2 linked regions of the Anolis sagrei genome follow. The protein of the gene in region 1 interacts with the protein of each later gene in a biochemical or structural test. Links are inferred from orthologs where the notes say so. Each region holds a gene or a part of one and is shown on either strand. Other genes may lie near its edges.

Evidence for each region.
Region 2: the proteins of CFTR (region 1) and NHERF4 form a complex in vitro, tested with the Homo sapiens proteins (2 studies listed by BioGRID and IntAct, with this or other methods). The link is inferred for Anolis sagrei from reciprocal best matches to the Homo sapiens genes CFTR and NHERF4.

The regions. Positions count from the first base shown.
Region 1 is NC_090025.1:130,805,547-130,809,461, forward strand, and holds the start of CFTR (cystic fibrosis transmembrane conductance regulator), read right to left. Parts: upstream 2,721-3,915; 5' UTR 2,662-2,720; coding exon 2,609-2,661; intron 1-2,608. UniProt on the Homo sapiens protein: Epithelial ion channel that plays an important role in the regulation of epithelial ion and water transport and fluid homeostasis. Mediates the transport of chloride ions across the cell membrane.
Region 2 is NC_090027.1:39,533,309-39,537,223, forward strand, and holds the start of NHERF4 (Na(+)/H(+) exchange regulatory cofactor NHE-RF4), read right to left. Parts: upstream 2,712-3,915; 5' UTR 2,602-2,711; coding exon 2,508-2,601; intron 1-2,507.

The sequences.
Region 1 (3,915 bases):
TGTGTTGAATTAGTTGAGACTTGATGAGATATTCATTGAAAAACTATAGCAAAATGTGCTGCAGGATGTACTTTTCCATGTTTGTATGATAGAACCAATGAGAAAATGACCTTTATAACTTCAGGAACAAAAGATTGTGTTATATAGCATAATCTGGGATCAGATCCTGGGATCTGGCCCACTGTAGACCAGGGGTCCTCAAACTTTTTAAACAGAGGGCCAGGTCACAGTCCCTCAAATCATAATCCAGAGGGCCAGATTATAATTTGAAAAAAGCATGAATGAATTCCTATGCACACTGAACATGTCTTATTTGTAGTGCAAAAAACACTTTAAAACAATACAATAATTGAAATGAAGAACAATTTTAACAAATAGAAACTTATTAGTATTTTAATGGGAAGTGTGGGCCTGCTTTGGCTGATGAGTTAGGATTGTTGTTGTTATGTGCTTTCAAGCTGTTTCAGACTTAGGTTGACCCTGAGTGAGGGCCGAGTAAATGAACTTGGAGGGCCGTATCTGGCCCTTGGGCCTTAGTTTGAGGACCCCTGCTGTAGACCAAGGCCCCTTCTATGCTGCCATATAATCCAATTATCAATGCTGATAATCCACATTATCTGCTTTGAACTGGATTATATGAGTCTACATTGCCATATAATCCAGTTCAAAGCAGATAATATGGATTTTAGGGGGTAGTGTAGAAAGAGCCCTAGCCTTTGGGCTCTGTGTCAGAATGAGCAAGGAGTACATCCCGCAAGTGAGCCAAAAGGCAATTTATACCAAAGGTGAACTTGAACTTGGGGAGGGATGCTCAATAAAACTGCATGAATTTGAAAAGTATGGTTTATTCTGGATCCCCACTGCTCTATACCCCAGGATCTGATCCCAGATTATCTGCTTTGAATTGGATTATATGCTTCTACATTGTCAGATAATCTGGGATCAGATCCTGGGATATAAGACAGTGTAGATCCAGCCCCAGCAGCACCTGCCAGCATTACAAAGCATCAGTGATGAGAGGGAGCAAAGGGCACTGAGAAGAACCAGGGCAAGGAGTTGATGGAAGAGGAATCTCTCTCCTTTTTTCCTTCTCCTTCTCCTCAGTGATGAGAGGGAGCTAAGGGCACCGGGAAGGAAGGGGGGAAGGAGTTGATGGAAGAGGATTCTCTTTCCTTCTCCTTCCCTTTCTTCTCCTTCTCCTCCTTTCTCCTTCTCAGTGATCAGAGGGCACTAAGAGCACTGAGAAGGACAAGGGCAAGGAGTTGATGGAAGAGGGCTCTCTCTCTCCTTCTCCTTCTCCTCATCCTCCTCCCCCTCCTTCTGAGTGATCAGAGGGAGCTAAGGGCACTTAGAAGGAAGGGGACAAGGAGTTGATGGAAGAGGGCTCAATCTCCTCCTCCTCCTCCTCCTCCTCCTCCTCCTCCTCCTCCTCCTCCTCCTCCTCCTCCTCCTCAGTGATCAGAGGGAGCTAAGGGCACCGAGAAGGAAGGAGGCGAGGAGTTGATGGAAGAGCTCTCTCTCCTTTCCCCCTTCTTCTCCTCCGTCTCCTCCTTCTTCACTTTCTTAGTGATCAGAGAGAGCTAAGGGCACTGAGAAGGACGGGGCAAGGAATTGATGGAAGAGGACTCTCTCCTTCTCCCTCTCCTCCTCCTCCTCAGTGATCAGAGGGATCTAAGGGCACTGAGAAGGAAGGAGGCAAGGAGATGATGGGACTCTCTCTCCTTCTCCTCCTCCTCCTTTCCCCCTTCTTAGTGATCAGAGGGAACTAAGGGTACTGAGAAGGAAGGAGGCAAGGAGATGTTGGGACTCTCTCTCCTTCTCCTTCTCCTTCTCCTCCTCCTCCTCCTTTCCCCCTTCTCAGTGATCAGAGGGAGCTAAGGGTACTGAGAAGGAAGGAGGCAAGGAGATGATGGGACTCCCTCTCCTTCTCCTCCTCCTCCTCCTTTCCCCCTTCTTAGTGATCAGAGGGAGCTAAGGGCACTGAGAAGGAAGGAGGCAAGGAGATGATGGGACTCTCTCTCCTTCTCCTCCTCCTCCTCCTCCTTTCCCCCTTCTTAGTGATCAGAGGGAGCTAAGGGTACTGAGAAGGACGGGAGCAAGGAGTTGATGGAAGAGGACTCCCTTCTCCTTCTCTTTCCCCTCCTTCTTCCTCTTCTCCTCCTTCCCCTCCTCTTCCTCCTCCTCCTTCACCTCCTCCTTCTCCTTCTCTTCCTACTCCTTCTTCACTTTGTTCTCCTCCTCCTCCTTCTCCTCTTTCTCCTCTCTCTCCTCCTGTGGGAACCAACCTCCTCTTCCCTCTCCTCCGGCCAACTGTTTCCAGGACTGACCTATCGGCATTTGGCCGCTCTTTGCCAAGGCCAGCTCCCGATGAAGCAGGAGGAGATGGGAGGCAGCCCCGCGCTCCTCCCAAACAATCCATAACTTCGCTTCGGACAATGCTATTCCCATTCCTTTGGACAACACAAATCCCTCCTCAAAGCGCCCCTGAGAGTCGGGCAAAGGGCTCAAGGGGTGATGCTTGCTTCCTTGCCAAAGCGAAAAGGATCAGTTTGGGGGCGATCTCCCCCATTTCTTTCTTTCTTTCTTTTTCCCCCCAAGCCCCGCTCACCTGAAGAACAGCTTGGAGAACACGTTCGCCTTCTCCAGCGGCGACCTCTGCATGGCTCCTTCTGCTTCGGAGGCGGCAAGAGGCGGAGAGGGAGAGCTGGCCTTCGCAGGAGGAGGAGAAGGAGAAGAAGGAGAAGGAGAAGGGTTTTCGGCGCCCTATGGGTCGCGCTTTTCTCCCCCCTTAAGGCTGGCCGAGGTCCCCGCCTCCCTCTTTCTCCTGCCCTTCTCCCCGCCTCTCGGACTCCGCCGGGCTTCAAAAGCCTGCCCTCGCCTGCCCGCCCCGAACTCCTCCGCAGGAAAGCGCCTCGACAGGTGCCTCTCGGGGCTGAGAAAGGCGCTCTTGCCTCTGCCTCCTCCTCTTCTTCTTCCTCCTCCTCCTCTGCCAAGCCTTCCCGGTGCAACCCCATGGAGAGCTTTGCCAAGGCTCTTCTACATTATGCTCACCGGCAGGCTCAACACATCAACAGTTCTTTCCTCTCGTGATACCTATGAAAAGATCAAGGTCCCAGAACCCTGTTGGAAAGCATTGCCAAACTCAGTACAGGTGGATATTGTGGCAATAGTGCACTCTTGATGCCATTTGAACTGCTATAGAATTACACTAGTATGTAACACAATTCAGACATGTGTTGTCGAAGGCTTTCACTGGGTTGCTGTGAGTTTTCCGGGCTGTATGGCCATGTTCCAAATGCATTCTCTCCTGACTTTTCGCCCACATCTATGGCAGGCATCCTCAGAAGTTGTGAAGTCTGTTGGAAAATAGGCAAGGGAGGTTTATATCTCTGTGAAAGGCTCAGGGTGAGAGAAAGAACTCTTGTCTATTGGAGGCAGTGGTTCCCAACTACTTGACCAAATACCACTTTGTGTCCCCAAGGAACCCTTTGACCAGGGACCACTTGAGCAGGGACCTCTTTGATCAGAGACCACTTTGACCAGGGACCACTTTGACCAGGAACCATTTTGACCAGGGACCACTATGAGCAGAGACCACTTTGACCAGGGACTACTTTGAACAGAGACCACTTTGATCAGGGACCACTTTGACCAGGGACCACTATGAGCAGGGAGCCCTTTGACCAGGGAGCTCTTTGACCAGGGACCACTTGACCAGGGACCACTTTGACCATGGACCTCTTGACCAGGGACCACATTGGTCAAGGAGCCCCTTGACCAGGGCCCTCTTGACCAGGGAGCTCTTTGACCAGGGGCCACGTTGGCCAAGGAGCCCTTTAGCCAGGGACCGCTTTGACCAGGGACCACTATGAGCAGGAGCCACGTTGACCAGGAACCACGTAGACCAGGGAGCCC
Region 2 (3,915 bases), on another chromosome or scaffold:
GTGAACTATAAATCCCAGCAACTACAACTCCCAAATGTCAAGGTCTATTTTCCCCAAACTCCACCAGTGTTCACATAGGGAAGAGGGAGCAAGCTTGTTTTCTGCTGCCCTGGAGAGTAGAACGCAATGGAACAGTGGCTTCAAACTACAGGAAAGGAGTGTTGAGAATATCTGTATGTGTGTTTTGATTAACGGTATTGTAGTTTTCAAAGTTAGTGATTATGTGCTTAGAAATGTTATGCTTTGTAATGCAATGTGCTGGAGGTTGTAATTCCTGTGTGGAAAGGGCCAACTGTATTGTGAAGGAGGAATCGTAAATCCGAGTGCAGAAAGTGTTGTATGCTGTCTAGCATCGAGAGTGTCATACGTCATCACGTCACTAAGGAATGTGGGAGTGTGCCGTATTCTTGATTGCAACGAAGAGCCGAGCCATGTAGATGTTTTTGTTTCTCATTCTGTTTAGTTCTAGTGTAAATATGTTTTGTGTTAAAAAAACTAGGTTTTTAGACAAGAAGATGTGTTTCAGTGCCTTGTGTGTGCAGAGATCATCGCCGTTCCATTAACAAGGAGATTCCACTTGAACGTTGAATGGGATTGTGGTGCAGCTGGCTGAGTGTCAGCTGCATTAAGATCACTCTGACCAAAAGGTCAGGAGTCTGAAGCCAGCCCGGGTTGGAGTGGGTTTCCAACCAATTATGTGTAGCCTGTTGTCGACCTTTGCAACCTGAAAGACTGTTGCATCTGTCAAGTAGGAAAATAAGGTACCACCTCAAAGTGTGGGGAGGCTAAATTAACTCATTTATGAGGCCATAAAAAAGACTCCAGCAAAGCATTCCAACAGGGAAGCATGCGGGAATGCGGAAGTGCTTCATCAGCATCGCAGATGGACGATGAAAGCGACAGCTCCCCGGTGGCCAGAAAAAGTTAAATAGCCTCTGTGTATGTCTGTATATGTTTGTATGTCAAAAATTGGCATTGAATGTTTGCCATATATGTGTACACTGTAATCCGCCCTGCGGGGTGAGGAGAAGGGCGGAATAGAAAAGCTGTAAATAAATAAATAAATAAATAAACGTTAAGAAGGATATCCTAACTGTGAGAGCTGTTCAGCCGTGGAACTCTCTGTCCCAAAGCCTTCTTTGGGGGCTTTGAAACAGAGGGTGGATGGCCATCTGTCGGGAGTGCTTTGAATGCGATTTTCCTGCTTCTTTTTAGAATGGAGTTGGACTGGATGGCCCACAAGGTCTCTTCCAACTCTAGGAGTCTGTGATTCTAAAGATGGAAATAGTAAGTCAGATGGCTTGATTCAGCTCCAGCTTCTCAAATGGAACCCCGGTGACGTTCTTGCATCATTGAAGGACAGAAGCACAAGTTGAGCTTCTAGCAGGGACTTTTTAATTTGCAGAAATTAAATCAGATTTAGCAGTTTATCTAGCAAATGCCAAAGAATACGACGGAGGCGTGACTAGTGGGTGGCTTGGGGTTTGTCCTGACCTTGTTGCTACTCAATGTTTTTATCTATGACTCATTTCAGGACAACAACAAAAGGAATTCCGTACATTACAACCCTCATTTCCATTGGGAATATGTTCAAAACTCATCTATGCATACCTGAAACACACCTTGTATTTTGATTATACTTGTTGCCAGATACATAGCATAGAAATGCACTGCAAAGGTCTTCAAACACTTCCAGAGTGGGACAATTTTTGGAAAATAGTGGATATTGAATCTGCCTTGGATGTGGAAACCTGGCGCTGATCAGACTGGGAGGTAAGACGGGTTGAGACCCGGCATGAGCAAACTTCCTCCCTTCAGGTGTTTTGGACTTCCACAATTCCTAACACCCTAAAATTGGACACCTTGATTAGCATTTAATAGCCTTGCAGCATCAAAGCCTGGCTGAAAGGATGGAAGGGTTTGCCTTTGCTTCTCCCTGAGGCTGAGAGAGTGTGACTTCCCTAAGGTCACCCATTGGGTTTGCATAGCCGAGCAGGGATTTGAACCCTGCACTCCAGATTTGTATCCCAACACCACAGAGATGTAAAGGAACCGAAGGAATTACAGAAGAGAACTCCAGAGGCCATCTAGTCCACCACCTTTTGCAATGCAGGAGAATCACAATCAAAGCACTCCCAACAGATAGCCATCTAGCCTCTGTTTAAAAGCCTCCACTGGATCAGAATTCATGCCTCCAGCACAGGTAAATTTGAGCCTTCCAAGTGTTTTGGACTCCAACTCCCACCATTCCTAACAGCCTCAGGCCCTTTCCTTTTCCGCTTAAGCGGCTGAGGGGGAAAAGGAAGGGGCCTGAGGCTGTTAGGAATGGTGGGAGTTGGAGTCCAAAACACCTAGGACAAAGTTTGCACATGCCTGGGTTAGACTATATGATCTTTGGAATCCCCTTGGAGTCTACACTTCTATAATGTCCTAAAATTGCATTTGAATTGGTTGTCTGTCTGGCAAGCTTATGAGACAATCAAATCCAACCCTGCAGACATACATACCATGCAAACCCTGCAAAATTCCTTGCTCGGAGGTCCCATTTGGGTCGGTCCCTATGGACCCTCTCTTCTGCCGCTTACCTTCCTTCTGCTTCATGGCTCCTTAAGTGTCTGAGGTCCAAGGTCCAACCTGCGGTGGCAGCTTCACCTGGAGACCCGCCTTTTTGGAAATGAGATCGTGGGAGCTTAATGTTTAAACGGGTCAGGAGACTTTACAAGGCTGGCCTCTCCACCTTCGAGAGAGATAAGCAAGGAGAGGGAAACTCTCTTGTCATTTTCTTGGCAGGGAAGGTTCAACTCTGGACACATTTTGTGCCGTAGGGAAATGAGATGCACAGGAGGAAAACGGTGACGGACTTCGATCAGGAAGAAGGTTATTTCTGAAAACAAACAGGTGGGAAAGGGGTAAAGCAAAAGGAAATTAAAATGAGAGTGTTTACCTTTCTGCCCGCATCATTTTCTATTATTAGTATGTTATGTGACCAACAACCAAACAGATCCATCTGGATCCAAGGAAGATACTATGATGAGGGAGTCAGCTATTGTTGGAGCTCAGCCTGTGATTGTGTTTCAGGATCAGGGTGCTTTGGATGTGGGGAGTGATGTTAATGAGGTTCAAGATGGATTTCAAGATGGCAATGGTTTGGCCAGTGATATTGATGCAGCGAATGACCAGTAGATCCCTGTTCAAAGTGTAGTTTCCCATGAGAATGTTCCTGAGGGGTGTGGAGATGATGGTGTGCTTTCTTAATTGTTACCAAAGAGTTCCCATGAGAAAGGACATGAAAACAGCTCGGCACCTGGCCCAGCTGCAGAAATTAAGGGGCAAATTGATAGACTAGAGGAGATCAGTCGAAACAGGAGAGCCGAACAGTAGCTTCGGCGTTCTGCCAGGCTCTGACAGAAAAAGATAAATTCTCAGCTAAGCGAAACCAATTTCTGAGCACTGGTGACATAATTAACAAGGAGAGAAAAGTCCCAAGTTTAGGATATGTAGTCTGATGAAGGATCATTTGGAATCAAGTGTTGGGAATCAGCCTGTTTGTTTTCCAGGATCATAATGCTTATGATGAGAGTAATGATGGTGCTGAGACTGAGGTGCAAGATAGAGATGGTTTGGTCAATGATTTTCATACAGACAATGACAGAGAGGCCCCAGTGCAAAGGGCAGTTTCTCATGAGAATATTCCTGCTGAGCCTCGGGATGATGGTTTACTCCCTCTTTCTGTGAGCTCTCAAGATTTGGGTTTGGAAAACAATCTGACACCTGGAAATTTTAATGAGCAGCCAGATAGGGAGTTGAAGGATAGGCAGCTGGAGATCAGCCAGGATTGACAGCAAACTCAGTGTTTACGTCGCTCTGAAAGGCTTCGTCAGATAAGGGGCAAGTGTGGGGGAAAGCCAAACCAAT